2 linked regions of the Lepisosteus oculatus genome follow. Each later gene encodes a partner of the first gene's protein in a complex. Links are inferred from orthologs where the notes say so. Each region holds a gene or a part of one and is shown in the gene's direction. Other genes may lie near its edges.

What was found. The genes of interacting proteins can lie anywhere in the genome.
Region 2: the proteins of ap3m1 (region 1) and lamp1a are in contact, whole or in part, in a cryo-EM structure (PDB 9C5A), measured with the Homo sapiens proteins. The link is inferred for Lepisosteus oculatus from reciprocal best matches to the Homo sapiens genes AP3M1 and LAMP1. Residues at the interface, in NP_001307192.1 of Homo sapiens: Glu178, Tyr180, Phe181, Asp182, Gln381, Val389, Asn390, Arg391, Leu392, Phe402, Lys403, Gly404, Val405, Lys406; in NP_005552.3 of Homo sapiens: Ser410, His411, Gly413, Tyr414, Gln415, Thr416, Ile417.

The regions. Positions count from the first base shown.
Region 1 is NC_090699.1:17,732,183-17,739,965, reverse strand, and holds the start of ap3m1 (AP-3 complex subunit mu-1), read left to right. Parts: upstream 1-4,288; 5' UTR 4,289-4,419; intron 4,420-4,528; 5' UTR 4,529-4,576; intron 4,577-5,022; 5' UTR 5,023-5,032; coding exon 5,033-5,305; intron 5,306-6,424; coding exon 6,425-6,596; intron 6,597-6,821; coding exon 6,822-6,959; intron 6,960-7,522; coding exon 7,523-7,608; intron 7,609-7,783. Other genes in the region: adka (adenosine kinase), read right to left, coding at 3,926-3,981. UniProt on the Homo sapiens protein: Part of the AP-3 complex, an adaptor-related complex which is not clathrin-associated. The complex is associated with the Golgi region as well as more peripheral structures.
Region 2 is NC_090710.1:28,756,976-28,765,051, forward strand, and holds the start of lamp1a (lysosome-associated membrane glycoprotein 1a), read left to right. Parts: upstream 1-5,015; 5' UTR 5,016-5,273; coding exon 5,274-5,334; intron 5,335-8,076. UniProt on the Homo sapiens protein: Lysosomal membrane glycoprotein which plays an important role in lysosome biogenesis, lysosomal pH regulation, autophagy and cholesterol homeostasis.

The DNA.
Region 1 (7,783 bases):
TTTACAGAGATTATATTACATTTTAAAATATGAATCTGAACCACGGGACCGTGACCACTTTTAACTTTCAAGTCTCTGTAAATTAGCAGGAAAGTAAAGGCTGCTGACATTTCACTCAATTGTGTTCTCCAAGAAGAGAAAGACACCCACCCTTTCCTTTGTTTTCATCTGCTACCTGTATCTAAAATGTTCACACTTAATGTAAACAGAAATGACACCAAGATGTGTGAACAAAACCCCAGTGCATAAAGACCCTCCCACAGAACCCCGGCATTACAGAAATATTCCAAGAAAAAGAAGGGAGAGAAGGGAACATTTCTGCAGGAAAGTCACGGCAAGTCATGTATAAAATTTAAAATGCTTATGTAAGACACTATATTTAACCGCAGCTGTCTCAAGGGTGGATAAAGCATTAAACCGTGAAAGACCGCGAAAGGTTTTCCACCTCCATGCTCTGTGCTTCCGAAGGGCCCTCACTCCAGAAGCCGACCCCCCTCCCCTCCTGACACTGGTCGCTCTGTACTGCGGAGGAGACAGCCGAACGTCAGGATTCACGGACCTTCCTCGTTCCCCCTCAACACGCGCTCGCCCTGACTCGCCCTCGCCCCGAGGAAACGGCTCTCCCAGGAAACCAGCAGGGACTCGACTCGGCTTCAGGCGCACCAGCTGCAGCGCCCCGGGCCCTGCAGAACGGTCGAGTGTTTGCGATGCAGATGGTCAAGCGCAGGGTAATGCCAAGCAGAAAAGGAGAAAGGCTTTCCGCTCCTGGGCCTTCTTCAGGCGCGAGAGAGCTCCCGCCTCCTCCTCCTCTTCAGCCTGGGATTAGCTCCTCCGCCAGCACACACAGAAGCAGGTCCAGATTTTCCCCACATGTCAACAGGAAAGAAGGAGGACCGGCTCTGCCCGTGTCCCACCGCCACTGCAGCAGAGCCCGAGCACGGCCTTCTGGAACCACACTCGCCACGTGCTGTACAGCAGAAAGCCCTCGTGCACCCCTATCAGAACCCTTAAAGCCTCAACGAGACGGCAGCGTGAAACAATGTTTCCTCACATCGCGTTCCACCCCCAAAACTTTCAAAACTATTCCCTGGCTGCAGGCTAGATCAGACCAATGTAAATGTGAGATTTTTCATTTTGGCAGCAATGAGGTTTCCCCAGCACAGAGGACTGTAAAACTTCCAGCACGTTCTCAGAGTCATTAAGTCATCCCTGGGAGGGCAGGAAACTTCTTTCAAAAGCAGATGAAAAGAAACAGTTCCCTCCTGCATCAGGTTGCGTAGTTGACCTCACACAAAGACAGGCCCCTACATTTTTTTTTTTTACCATTAACAATCCGGTTTGGACAGTTGCAGGAATTTAACTATTTTACCTCCCCCCAGGGACTGAACTAAAAAAAAAAAACGTTGCAACCACACATTTATGCAAGTTAAGTCATGAATATGGACTACAACTTTATCCAAGTGGTGCACAGAACCTACAACACACTTTTAAAACATTTAACACTGAAATGTTGTGAACAGTCACCACATAAGTCAGAAGTTGAAGACCAATAAGACAGGAAAAAAAAAAAACACACCATGTAACGTCCCGAATTCCAAAGCACTGCTCCATCTAATCTCCCAGCGATCCCTGCTAGAAGACACCAAGGAGCACATATGCTGCAAGACAAACTGCTGTGCTGGAGCCTCTCACAACAGGTGGAGATTTCAGGCCATTCCGAGCTATGCACTCACCAAAACCCAGAAATGCTTGTCGGTGCGAATTCCAAACTGCATATCAACCGCCTACAGATAGTTCTCTTGCACCTTACGGCTATATGCAAGATGCATGAGAATAAATACGAATCATTCTAAAAAACATTACCATTAGCATCATGCGCGGGGTGTCTGTGCATGGCCATAAAGGAAACTTCCACATCTCAAACTTAAAAACAAGCACGAATTTCTACTGCAAGTCAAAAAAATAAATAATAAATGAAGGGCTCGTGCTCCGAACAAGAATGTGATGTGCATTAACTTTTCCAACCCCACCCACGCGCAATTAACTCATCTGCGTGCACGCAGAACGTAGTTTCAACATGTCAAAACCTTCGTCTGAGACCGATAAAATGCCATATCTGTATCGCTGTATCGATCAACGATATTCATGTTGGTCAGTATGCAATGCCACATCAAATAAATCTAATATGCAAGGTATGCTCTTGCACGCCTGCAGTCTGCAGTAGACCATCACTGACCTGTCACCGCCACTAATGCCCCCTAATGCTCCGTATCAAGGCATCATTACCTTATTGCGGGCATGTTCGCTAGCGAGAGGTCCTGGCGCAGCCGGGTGACAAGCAGCAGACAGGCTCCCCCGTGTTAATCTGAGCAGAAAGCCAGCCGCGGCAGCGTGCTCTCTGTATCAGTTTGCCCCTGAAACCGGAACCCCCGCCTGTATTCTTGAATTGATTGGCCGACACACAAGGGGGCGGGGCGGATTATATACCACGTCCGCGGTTGGCTGCGTCATTGTCGCTCGGGGTCCTAGAACTGCACATTTTTGTTAGAAGTGGGAGACGGCGCCGTCTTGAATGCAAAAGTGATATGCACTGCCTAGCAAGTCCCATCTCGCTAAACTCTGTGATGTCTGGTCCTTACACGCTGCAAAGAAGGATCTGGGCCAAAATTGCGTGTTTCACGGGGGGAAGATTTTAAAACATTCGAATTCGTTTTCTGAAAAGCCCTTTCACTATTTTTAAGACGTGGAAGGCGTTTTGTATGACTTTTGTGCTCCCGCAATCGTAGCAGAACAGTTTGAAACACTAATCTGACATGATTCTGCGTGCTGCAATCCAAGACTTGCGATCCTGAGATCACTGAATTCTTAATGGAAACCGTTCATTTCAGCTCGATTCTCAACAAGTTAACTAATCGACGACTTAAAACAGAAAAGTGGATGCATTTATACAATCCACTGAGTCCCCGATATCAAACACCTGAAGCCAGACATACCTAGCACAGTCAAGGAGTTTGTAGCAATAACTTTAAAATTGCTGTTTAAATTCATCATGACTATTCAATTGATCGCGTGTGTGGGGGGGGGGACACTAATTTACAATTGATATTTGTGAGAACTTCGGGGGGGGGGGGGAACATCTCATGCCAATTAAAGCAAATATAAAAAAAGGCATTTGAACTCCTAAGACCTTTCCTCCTAAAGGCGGGCAACCTGTTCAACTCCATGCCAAAAACTTCGCCCCTCTAGCGATTAGCTGCTCCGCGGCACCTCCCCGCCCCGCCGGCTGACCAGCCGGTTACCCAGCGAGCGCCGGGGTCAGCTCCGACCTGCGCGGCTTGTGTAACAGGGAGACGTCAGCCCCCGCCGCGCGGCTCGCCGCTACACATAACAAAAGACACGTGGAGGGAACTCTGCACTGAGCAGCGCGAGCAGGCGACCTTCCGGGCTGCACGCTCACCGCCCCGGCATGTTCAAGGCAGCTCGGAAGCGCTGCCGCTTTGCGCTATCCATGAACATAGAGATAGAAACAACAGAGCCTTCCTCGGCCACCGCTAAGCAGTTATAATGAGCCAGCGAAGGGTGCATTCATGCTCCGAAATGCACGCGATTCATCTGTTTTAATCAAGACGGTAGACTTAACTAACGCTATAGTACTTTTTAAAAATGGACCCGATTCTTAAGATTATTTTCACTACAATAATACTCCCCTTTGCCCTGGACTAGACGACTGTTTATCTAGTATCCACAAGCATAAGAGTACTTGAAAATTGATGGTAACTTTTACTTTTTTAAATAAGAACCCGGTTCCCATCAAACCCCCCCCATCCCAAACACAACCCGCAGAGCCCGGTGTAACGAACGGGTTAATTTCTCTCAAATAAGGGCGAGCAGTGCACTCAGTTAATAAAGCAGTTTTCCGGACTACCTGAGCTCCTTTTCCTCCAGCTTCGGTTTCTTAGCTTGCGGTTCCTCAGATGCCATCTTCAGCGTACGTCTGCCTGAGCCACCTTGACCAAAAGAGCCAAGAAAAAGTCGTGGGGGAAAAAAAAGGAGTTAAAAACGGCTAAGTTGTCCGCGGAGAACGCCTGAGTGTAGCCGCCGCGAAGGAGCTGCTCTGTCGTTCTTGACCGAATTCAAAGGGAAAATCCGTATAGTTTATAATAAAATAAAATTACAAAAAAAAGTTAAATTCGCACTTGGATAAAGTACTTGCCGTTTTTGTCCCGTCTCTGTGCGCAGGCTGCAGGCACAGAAGTCGGGACTCTCGCAGGGGTCCATGCGGGAGCACAGCGCGGCCATATTGCCACACCGCAGAAGCGGAACTGAGCTCGCACTTCAAGGTACTGGATTGCGCTACTTTATATCTTTCTGCGGGAGGATTTCTTTCGTTTAACCCGCATCGAGGAAATCTGCAGGCTCGTAAGTAGCAAGATTTTTTAAAATGATTAATTTTAGTTACAGCGGGGCTTTGGTTGTGTTCCCCGCATCAAATACTCGAGACAGACAAAGTTTTTGGTTAAATCTACAGGTTGTCTTCTGTACACAGAGACCGGACTACTTGAGAGAACAAAATCATGTAAGATTTAAGTCTGAGCACATTTGCGTGGTTTTAAGTGACGCTGTACTTCGTTATCTATGGCTCACTGGCGCTGTTTTATCAAACTTTCCTATTTTAATTCCACTGTCCTGTTGCACACTTCTCCCTACGTCCTGCGTTTACCTGCACCCGGGCGATGGGGGCTGATCTCTGTCAGGGATTAAGTTTTTTAATTAACTAGTTGACAGCCTCGGCTAACGGCCTGGACTCCGAGGTGCCGGCGAAGTGTGCACAGCAAGAGTTTCATTGTCGAGGTGAGCCGTCCGTATCGCCCCGCCGACAGAAACCCCCGGATTCTACTTTTACTCAGTGGGAACGTTATGGTAGCGTGTACCCCGGGCGGTGGAGAAAGAGCAAACCCAGCCAGACTGCCGAGCCAAAGCCGTAACTCATCGGCTGCTTTTGAACCTTGGCGTTTTCTCCAGCCCGACCACCATGATCCACAGCCTGTTCCTGATCAACCCCGCGGGCGACATCTTCCTGGAGAAGCACTGGAAAAGTGCGGTGAGCCGCTCCGTGTGCGACTACTTCCTGGAGGCGCAGGGCAAGGTGTCCGAGCCGCAAAACGTGCCGCCGGTCATCCCCACGCCACACCACTACCTCATCAACATCCTCCGCGGCAAGATCTTCTTCGTGTCCGTCTGCCAGACCGAGGTGCCGCCCCTCTTCGTGATCGAGTTCCTGCATCGCGTGGCGGAGACGTTTCAGGTGAGCCGTCGCGCGGCCTCGGTTGGGGTGGGGGGTCGATTTTAACTCTTTCTTTAAAAAATACAAGCTTGTGCTTTGTGCACGGATTGATGTAGCTGACCCTTGTCTGGGGTAACGGTCGATAAAAGCGTTTCTCTGGAGTATTGCTTTCCGTCTTCATCGGAAGTATTTCTTCAGTTAAAGGGAGGTGCAGGTGAAATTTGCATTATGCTTTCCCCTTTTCTTCTTAAGAACTCCATATATAAAATAATAATAATTGTTGTCCGTGGGAGGTAACACGCAGGTAGCACACCTAGCCCTTGTTCGGGGTACTCGGGTCTCTTCTGGTTTTTGTTCCAGCTGCGTTTTTAATCGCAGGGTAATCGATTTCAGTTTGCTGTTTCAGCTCTTATAAAATAAGATCACTTTATTAGCCATATACAGTTTCTTGCATTAGGAATTTGTCTATTTCTCATACCCCAGCTTGCTCTCCATGAGACATACAGGCAGGGAGAGACGCTGGGGGTTAGAGTGCAGGGTCTGCCATTGTACAGCGCCCCTGGAGCAGTTGGGGTTAAGGGCCTTGCTCAGGGGCCCAACGGAGTAGGTCTTAATGTCTTTGCCACCTGTCTAGTATCCTGTACCTGTATCAAGCTATCAACCTTGTATCATCTATTATAAGTGCTGGTTAGCCATAAATAAGCAAATTTCTAATACGTTTATAAAGTCACTCCTAATTTCCTGTATAATTTCCTGTATAATTTGGAGCACTACACTTTTAAATCAAAACCCAAATGTTTAAATGATTCAACGAAATTGCGAACTCCCAAACAGGCCCGTTAAAGGCATCGGGCAGCTCCAGCGATTCAAAGCACAGCTGGGACAAAAACCAGTGGGCAAAGAGTGTTTTATCTCCTGAGGTGTGTTGATAGGGTTGGCCCAGGGGACTGTTTCATGCTTGGGGGGGGGGGGGGGATTCTGACCCAGGGTCTGAGCTGGGAACTAACGGGGAATTAAACTAGGATGATGCGTCATTTCACTTTCTACCGTACTATCAGAAAGGCAGGCAGGGCCGAATGGCCTCCTCTTTGCTATTTTTCTTGTGTTCTGAAGTGTGTTTTGTGTGTCTTTCCAAAACAGGATTACTTTGGAGAGTGCTCGGAGGCTGCTGTAAAAGACAATGTAGTTATTGTGTATGAGCTTCTTGAGGAGATGCTAGATAATGGCTTTCCTTTGGCTACAGAGTCAAACATCTTGAAAGAGCTGATCAGACCGCCCACGATCCTGCGCTCTGTTGTCAATACCATCACAGGTAAATCCTGAAAGCCCCCTGTACTTTCCCCCCACAGCCTTGCGCCACGTCACTGGGAAGTTCTGCAGAGTTCAGAACCCCCAGAATAATAAGTAGAATCTTTTTTTTTTTTACAAAAACACTAGTTTGGAACTTATTCACCAGGGACTGATGGTCTCTTTCCACTTTGTTTTGTGCGTTTTGAGTGGTCTCCATGGAAATGCTGCAATCTTCTAAATATTGCAGGCAGCAGCAATGTTGGGGAGACGCTGCCGACTGGTCAGCTGTCCACTATCCCCTGGAGGAGGGCCGGGGTCAAGTACACTAACAACGAAGCTTACTTCGACGTGGTGGAGGAAATAGATGCCATTCTGGACAAGTCAGGTACAGTCGTGATGCTTCACGCTGGTGCGCGTGCACATGATTTTACCTGTTACACTGACACACACAAAGCTGGAGTCAAGCACTTGTGTGAAGTACTTCTGGACACGCAAAAAATGATGTTCTGTCCTGAAAAGGTGTTTTCTGTTGCTTCACAAGAAGAAAGTCTGGTTTTTCAAAGATGTCATCCTGCAGTAACTTTGACACTGAGCTGTGCTCCAACTCCTGACAAGCACAGTTGCTGTCTGTCTGACCGAGTGTGTTGCATAGCACATTGTGCCAGTCTAGATGAGGTTGTCACTCTCCCTTAGCAAAGGAAACACTTGTGCAGGCTGCTTTCGGTTATTAATTTTCTTCTTCTGAGGTTGTAATGCACAATGATTTACTCTAATAAAATGGCTAGCATCAGATTCTAAATAAAAACGGGAGGTTAAGATACCTCAGCCACTCATTTCAGTGAGAAGGTTATTATTGAAAAAACAATGTCCGCTGTTGAAATGCTGACTGCACTTTTGCCGTAGATTTGTAAAATGGCGCAAAGGAATTGTTCTCTCTGGTTTTGACAGGCACAACAGTGTTTGCAGAAATCCAGGGCGTTGTAGATGCTTGCGTCAAGCTGTCAGGAATGCCAGACCTCACACTGTCTTTCATGGTAAGAAATTGCACTGGCGCAGTGACATTGTATTTCAGCCTGGTACCAGGCTAGAGAGAGTGGAAGATACAAATAGGGGTGTGTGCTTTTTTTAGGCACATGTGACTGTTCTAGGCTACATTGAGCACGCAAGGACTGGCTGTGCGTGACACTGTTCTAGGCTGCGTTGAGCGTG
Region 2 (8,076 bases), on another chromosome or scaffold:
ACGTAGCCTTATTTTCACACCGCATCTGCCTAATTGGGTTTCAGTTTTCAAATTAGATTTGCACGCTTCGTTTCAGTCCTAATTGCTTGGAGCAACAAATTAAAAAATATAAAGACATCTCTGTTGAACCTTAAAATAAACGCTTTACGAAGTTCAGAACTCTGTTCCTTTTTTTGTTGTTGCTGCGTGCCACCGTGGAATGTTAAAGATGGCTGCAGAATTTCTCTGCAAGATAAACAAACATAAGAAAGATAACAAAGGAGAGGGGGCCAGTGGGTCCGTCCAGCCTGTTGGATAGGAGCCAGTTGATTCAAGGACCTCATCCATCTTTCTTGAGAGGGGCCAGAGTGTGGAGCTCACCAGGAGTCCAGCTCGGCTAAGCTGCTGCTGCTTCCAGACTCCCCATGTTGGTTAGCTGCCCTGTAGTTGTTGGTCACCTGCCAGCTGTGTTTCATACATGATTAATTAATTAATTGCTTACACTTATGTATTTATGGACACTCCACTCAAAGCGCTTTACAGGTAATGGGGACTCCCCTCCACCACCACCAATGTGCAGCCCCACCTGGATGATGTGACGGCAGCCATAGTGCACCAGTACTCTCACCACACATCAGCTCTCAGTGGGGAGGAGAGCAGAGTGATGAAGCCAGTTCATAGAGGGGGATTATTAGGAGGCCATGATTGGTAAGAGCCAATGGGAATTTTTTTTTTTTGGCCAGGACACCAGGGTTACACCCCTACTCTTTTCGAGAGACGGCCTGGGATTTTTAATGACCACAGAGAGTCAGGACCTCGGTTTTACGTCTCATCCGAAGGACGGCACCCGTTTACAGTATAGTGTCACCATCACTATACTGGGGCATTAGGACCCACGTGGGCCACAGGGTGAGCGCCCCCTGCTGGCCCCACTAACACCTCTTCCAGCAGCAACCTCAGTTTTTCCCAGGAGGTCTCCCATCCAGGTCAATTCAATTCAATTCAAGGTGCTTTATTAGCATGACTGATGGATACAATCAGTGTTGCCAAAGCAAATAAAAATAATAAAATTAACATGGAACAAAACATGGAACAGGCCCACACCTGCTTAGCTTCAGTGGGTTGCCAGTTGTGAGTTGCAGGGTGATATGGCTGCTGGCTACCACTGCACTCACTCCAGTAAGAACAGATAGACCACATCACTTTCAAATAACCGCTGATGCGGCCCGTTCAAGTCTGGTGGGCTGGAGCCTATCCTGGAGAGCTCAGGGCACACGGTGGGATACATCCTGTCCATCACCGGAGGCACACAGACGCAGACACGCACACTCACGATGGGGCCAGTTCTCCCAGAAGCCCATTAACCTAAATATGCGCTATACTGTATGTAGGATGAAGTAGCCTTAAACCGAATCGTTAATCAAAAAGCGAAGTCCTTTGTCCGGCTAATTCTTCCTTCTTGTCCGGTTATAAACTACCTTTACAGATTTCTAAATTAAACTGAACCTTTGGAAAGAATAAGTAATAGGTTTATTCCATGCTGAAAAAAAGAAGAAAGAGAACACAACGTTTCGGCCGTGGAGCCTTCTTCAGGTGGCTCCTCACCTGAAGAAGGCTCCACGGCCGAAACGTTGTGTTCTCTTTCTTCTTTTTATCAGCATGGAATAAACCTATTACTTGTTCCTTTGCAGCCTACGCATGCTGACGCAGCTACCCACCTGAACTACTTTGGAAAGAATGTAGAATGTACCAGTGTGCCTTTGGCCTGGGGCAGGAGACCCATGCGAACGCACGGGGACGATGTGCAAACCTCACACCGAGGAACTGCACCTAGGGGCCCTGCCCGACAGCAGTGCTGACCACTGCTCCGCTGGGCTGCCCCTGTGGAAAATTACACCAGAAGCACTGCTTATGATATGCTACTTGAGCACAGTAGCTCAGACAGATATGTTGCAGGAGTTGCCACCGACTTCTGCACCTGCCTGTGGACTTTACTGTGTTCACAGGGATCGGTGAAGTGATGATTTTGAGGTTTTGACCTCACAGCTTGAAAGACTTGCAGGAGCCCAGTACATGTGTATCCCAAGAGACATCTGGGCTGCATGCTGCCAGCACCACGGTCCCACTTCAACAGGCCTCGGCTCATCTTCATTGTGTTCTGAAAAGAGAAGAAAGAAAACACGACGTTTCGTGTATTTGCTAAGTACTGTATAATAGCATTGTGGTATTTTATTTTTAAAAAAGCAATCTCAGTATTTGGTGCCATGTCTTATTATTCTTCATGGGTATCCATCGCTTCTACAGTCTCGTTAACGTAATCTGTTCCAACCCTTTACCAGCAGCCAGGTTGTGCTGTTACGGGAAACTGAAACACTTTACAGTACATGCACTTCTGTACAATGGTGAAACAAAAGGTGCTGATATTGCATAGATAATAAAATGAAGGAAATACTGTTTTTCTTTCTCTTTTTTTTTTTTTTTTTTAGCTGTTAGCTGCTGTGTATCTAGGTGGATGATCCTGAGGACCATACAAATTCTGGAATTCTGCAAATATAAAGTATTTTCAGGGCTTCCTTTCCCAACAGATCTTTACAGAAAAAAAAAACAGTTGTCAGGAATGTCTGTCTGCTGCCTAAGGATTGTGAAGAGTTCTTCTGCCTGTTGCTCCCAAACAGCCTTTTCAATATTAGCACATTGCTTTTTATCCTAACAAACAAAACTTTTGTTTTTACTTGTTCTTTTTGTAAGTTCTGGTTCACAGTGCTCCAGAAATTACAATCCCATTCATGACTTGCCCTAAAATACCCATCACATGACAGGCATGCTTCGTTGTGACTCCTGGAACTCATTTGTCTTGAGAGAAGTCCAAGTTCTGAGGCTCATACACCAGTTTAAATGTGTGCCCTGCATATATTATGGAACAGGTTTGATGCTGTCAAATGGATGTATTTTAACCAAATAAGAGGGTCAGGTTGTGACTCTTCTTTGCGGGAACTCCTTTACAACCAAATGAGGCCTGTTTTGACTTTGCAGCTTGAAAGTCTTGCAGGAGTCCAGTACATGTGTATCCCAAGAGACATCTGGCACCACGGTCCCGCTTCAACAGGCCTCGGCTCATCTTCATTGTGTTCTGAAAAGAGAAGAAAGAAAACAACGTTTCGGCTGTGGAGCCTTCTTGCACCCAAAGAAGGCTCCACAGCCGAAACGTTGTTTCCTTCTCTTTTCAGCAGGGAACAAACCTTTACTGGTTCCTTTGCAGCCACCGCCTGCTGACGCAGCTCCCCACCTGAACTACTTCATTGTGTTCTGCCTCTCTGGGAAGGAAGTCGGGCTTTTGAACCTTGAATCTCCCAGAACGGCACGTTTCGGTGAACAAAAGCGAAAAGCACAGAGCTCAGTTTTGCGTTTTGCAATAGAAGAGATGATTACCTGTTTGCTGAATGTGCTCCGCGCTCCCTGGTTATGTATTTAAAAAGGCAAACACATTGCACAAAGTTCTTTTCCACCTTTGTCTTTTCCTCGGTCGTGCTATTCGTGAGAGAACAGATTGTTTGAGCACAGGTATTTTTCTTTCGGTATTCTGGCCCATCACGTGGCGTTCTAGGTGTGGTCACACCTGTGTAATGATCCAGGGCCTCATAATGTTGTTTTTACTTCATGGAAACGCAGGACCGACGAGTTTCTTCTCGACGTTGCCTTGTGACAGCTCCACGGTATTCCTGATTTTATTTCCCCAGCTCACGTTGTTGTGTGGGCCTTCGTCTCATTGATGCCGTAACAAGCCCACCACTCCATTTCTGCTCCTATGCTGATTACTTCCAGTCCTTACGAAGAGGATCTACCACTCATCTGTTTTCCCCTCCGCCTACTCCAATTTTCAATTCAGTTTATTTTTATATAGCGCCTTTCACAACCAGGTTGGCCCAAGGCGCTGAACAAAGCTGTGTGTGACAGTACAGGAGGTTACAGTACAGGAAGAGAAAAGGCCAAGAGACGACGGAGGAGAGGGACCAAAAACTCCTCTGTAAGGAGGAAAGAAACCTCTAGGGGTCCAAGGTCAGCTGGCTGCCCGACCCCTCTGGGCATGCTCATATGATACACTTCTACAGAAGTACTAAATGTGGAGTATTAAGTCTTCCATCAGGTCCTTCTGTGTGCCAGTACCCCGTGCAGTTTTCTGTCGACCAGCAAGTCCTCCTAAATGCCAGCTGTAATACAGGGTAGCGGGGGAGCGGGAGCCCCTCCCAGCAAGCAAAGCTGGGGTACACCCTGGACAGGTGTCCCGTCCATCGCAGGGCACACACACACACACACCAGGGGCAGTTTTCACACAAGTCACTTAACCCACCAGCATGTCTTTGGACAGGGGGTGGAAACTGAAGCACCCAGAGGTAACCCACACAAACACAGGGCCACGTTCCAAGGTCACACCTCCATTTGTGGCACAAACATCTGCACTCCAAACCTTTCCCTTTCGATTTGTCATTTACCCTGGGACACAACGGGGTTAATTGCATGATATCTAGTGACCAGATGATCAGTTACATAATTTCCAGATTTCTAGCGACCAAGGGGGGGGTGCCTGTCTCTTATTCGCCGGTTGTATAATTAAGAATACAAAACGTGTGTTCAAAAACACACTTGTTTTTATTTTGGTCCGTGCGCGTTGGTGCTGACGAGAGGGACACTCATGGTCACACAGCAGCTGAGAGAGAGGAGGGGGGAGGTCGGTGCCCGAGCCCGACTGCGCTGTTCGTACGAGTCTAGTTTTGTGTCAAAGGCGTCCTTCCCCGACGAAGAGAGAAGAAAAAAGACCCCGCGTGTACACACACACCACCGCAGCCGGGGTGGGATGTCCAACATCCACGCAACTCTGTGGCAATCCCCACTTTACGGTCGCGACACGGCGAGGAAGACATTCCAGCCCCCTCCCCCCGGAGAGGGAGGCTCTCGCGAGGGCGGCGCGGGCCCGGGCTCACGTGACCGCGCGAGGGGGGGGCTTAAAGGGGCCTCACGTGACTGGGACACTTCTTCCTGGTACAGCGGCGGACAGAGGGAGAGAGACGGATTTCTGCGAGCGGGTCTGGGCCGGGTCGATCGCCTTCGGAGTGCGAGGCTGAGATAAAAACAAAAAACAAAAAAACCCCGGGGATACAGCTCAGGACGAGTGGGAAGGAGGCGCAGTGCGTGGCTCGGCGGCGTGGAGGCCCCTTTGCGTGACTGTCTCGTCGGCTGTCCCAGTCCACCGGGGCCGTGTTTTGCGTGATCTACCGAGTCAGCCGCGCTCTGACGACATGGCCCAGCGCTCCGGCAAACGCGCTTTCCTCGCCGGGATGGCTCTGCTGGCTCTGCTGGGTGAGTGGCGGCGGCGGCCGTGCGTGGGAGCCGTGTGTCAGCCCGGTTGTTTCGTGTTGACACAAGGGCGCAGCGGGGACGGGCTCGGACGAGACGCGCTGCTCTCCAGGAGACCCGGGCGGCTGCTGTGTTATTGGTTTGGCCGTCCGTACCGGGTTGACCGGGGCAGCTAGCCAGACCGCTAGGCTCTCTCTCTCTCTCTCTCCTCCCCCACTCCCCATTTTCTGTCCCCATGTTTCAAAAGATAAAACCTGACATTGCGCGTCTTTAAGTAGCCGAGCAGTGGCATTTTCAAGGAGGGTACGTAGCACCGAGGGACCGCCAGCAGCCAAACGGAGCCTGCTTTCTGTTTTCCTTTTAATAGGAATAACGTCCCAATAAAATAACATTTTTGACATTGAGTGTTGCGTTAAAAAGAGGAGGAGGAGGGGGTGCAGCCGCCCCTCCCCTCCCCTCCCGGTCGTGTTAAGTCGCGACGTCGGTGGCGCTCAGGTGCGAGCGAGCCGCCTGCTGGCCGCGGGCGCGAGGAGGGAGCGGGGCGGCGCGCGGCCGGTCCATTGTCTCGGCGTCGCCTCACGTGACGGCAGAGGCGCTCGGTGAAGACGAGGAACAACAACAACAACAGCAGCTCCAGCTCCGGCAGCACAGTGGCCTCGCTGTCTGTCCGCCCTGCGGCGGCACACGACCCCAGAGGGAGCGGGGCTCGCTGGCTGTCCGTCTTCGGCGAGCCGTGAACGACGTTTCATAACAAAATTAAAAAAAAAAACGCCGGTTCCGGTTCGAGCTTGGGACTTACTGGCGCTGACGCCTTTCCAATCGCCGGCGTGCGTAACCTACCCGGGTGTAAAAAAACAAAAAAAAAACCAAAACAAAACCTAAAGGTTCCTGCTTTCTCGGGGGTGGCGATTAAGCCTGCGTTAAGGTCTTTAAATGCGCGTAGTGGGTTCTGGTGTCCGCACGGCTTCCCGGGGAAAGGGGTGTTCACGCACGACTTGAACGGCTCCGATATCGCTGGGCTCCACGCGTGAACCCCCCACAAGGAGACGGGCCCTGGGTTTTGACAGTCCACCAGTGACGCACACAATTCGTGACAAAGGTGACGATGCCCGGCAGAGGAATCCTACTCTGTTGGGGCCCTTCACCCCAGCTGCTCCAGGGGCGCTGTATAAATGGCTGACCCTGCACTCTGACCCCCAGCTTCTCTCCCTGTCTGTGTGTCTCATGGAGAGCAAGCTGGGGTACAAATTCCTAATGCAAGAAATTGTATATGGCCAATAAAGTGATCTGATCTTGGGTTTCAGTTAGAGCCAGGTAGTTAAAATAACGCTGGAGAGATTCTCTTTTTTCTTTGTCACCTGGCTTCTTCCAAATACCTCTTTAAAATCACATCTTCCTCCCAGGAGATGTGAAACTGTTCTGTACCCCCGCTGTCCAGGTGTCTAGTTAATGTCGTGACCTAGGGAAGGGGCAGCCAGGTCTGGTGGGGCTGTGCACTTGATGCCTCTTTAATTGCATGAAAAAACATGATGAATGAGAGGCTTTTTTTTTTTTTTTTTTTTAGCACAGTGGATGATTTTGAAACTGGTTCTGCCAGAGTTGTTCCATACCTGCCTTTCCTGGAAAGATAAACATTGTTCAGAGGCAACAGGTTGATAAGTCCTTTGACACTGAATGCTCTAAATAAAGCTTTCTGCCTCTTGCGTAATTATAGCCTGGTTATGAAGCGCACTCTTTATTGCCACACCAGTCCTTACCCCCCGCGCAGGCCTGCTGATCTTTTTTTTTCGTTTGTTTGAAATGATATTTTGTGACATTGCGCTACAGTCCTGTTCAGTGTTTGTTTCGATCTGAAGGTGAAGTTCTAGCGTGACCGTTTGGCGTCGGCAGTGACGCCTGACGTGGGGTTAATATGAAACCTGAGCTCTCCGCTTGCAGCCGGAGCTGAAGCCCTGGCCGGAGGCCGCTTTGGAACCGAAGGATGGGGACGGCTCTCGGGAGGGATGGATCTGTTCCCGTTTGCTGCGCGGAAATCGTGCGATAACTTGAGGGTTTTTTTTATTTTTTTAGAACGCAAGTATTATGAATATTTCATGGAAGCTCGGGTCTTTTTGATGGAGGGTCCAATGGAGGTCGCTCCTGAGTGGGGTTGTGCTCGTCCGGGTCGGTCGGCCTCATCCCGCTGGTCCGGTGTGACGGGCTGGGGGCGTGGCCCCTGCTGGGAAGGCGGTGTCACTCGTTGTTGGTGTTCTTCTCCCCTCCCGGGAGCACTCGGTGTGAGAGAGGAGCGGAGATCCAGAGTGAGTGGGCCGTGTGCGCCTGCGGCGGTTCTGTTGAGGCTGGAGGGCCTTTGCTCTGGGTACAGTTCTCTGGAGGCAACGGGGGAACGTCTGCATGCGAGCTCCTTGCATCCTGCTTGCTGGACGTGCACCCCTTTAAACCCATAACGGTCTCTGGGGCTCTGGACAAGGGGGTTAATAACGGGGTTCAGTTGTCGGCGCTGTCGTTGGAAAGCGGTCACTGACGCCGTGTAGCTACGCGGTGGTGTTTTAGGCCTGTTCGCTAGTCTGTTAGTCTGCTGACCTTCTGTGGGAGCCCGGAGGCCAGGTGGTCAGGCCTTGACAGAAGGGGGGAGTTCTCAAGAGCCTCTCCTTCAGTTCTAACTTAAAAAAAAAAAACAAAGCCTGTTTTCTGAAGTTGGCTTGTGAATGTGCTAGTTTAGGATGGGAAATGAAGGGGAATTTA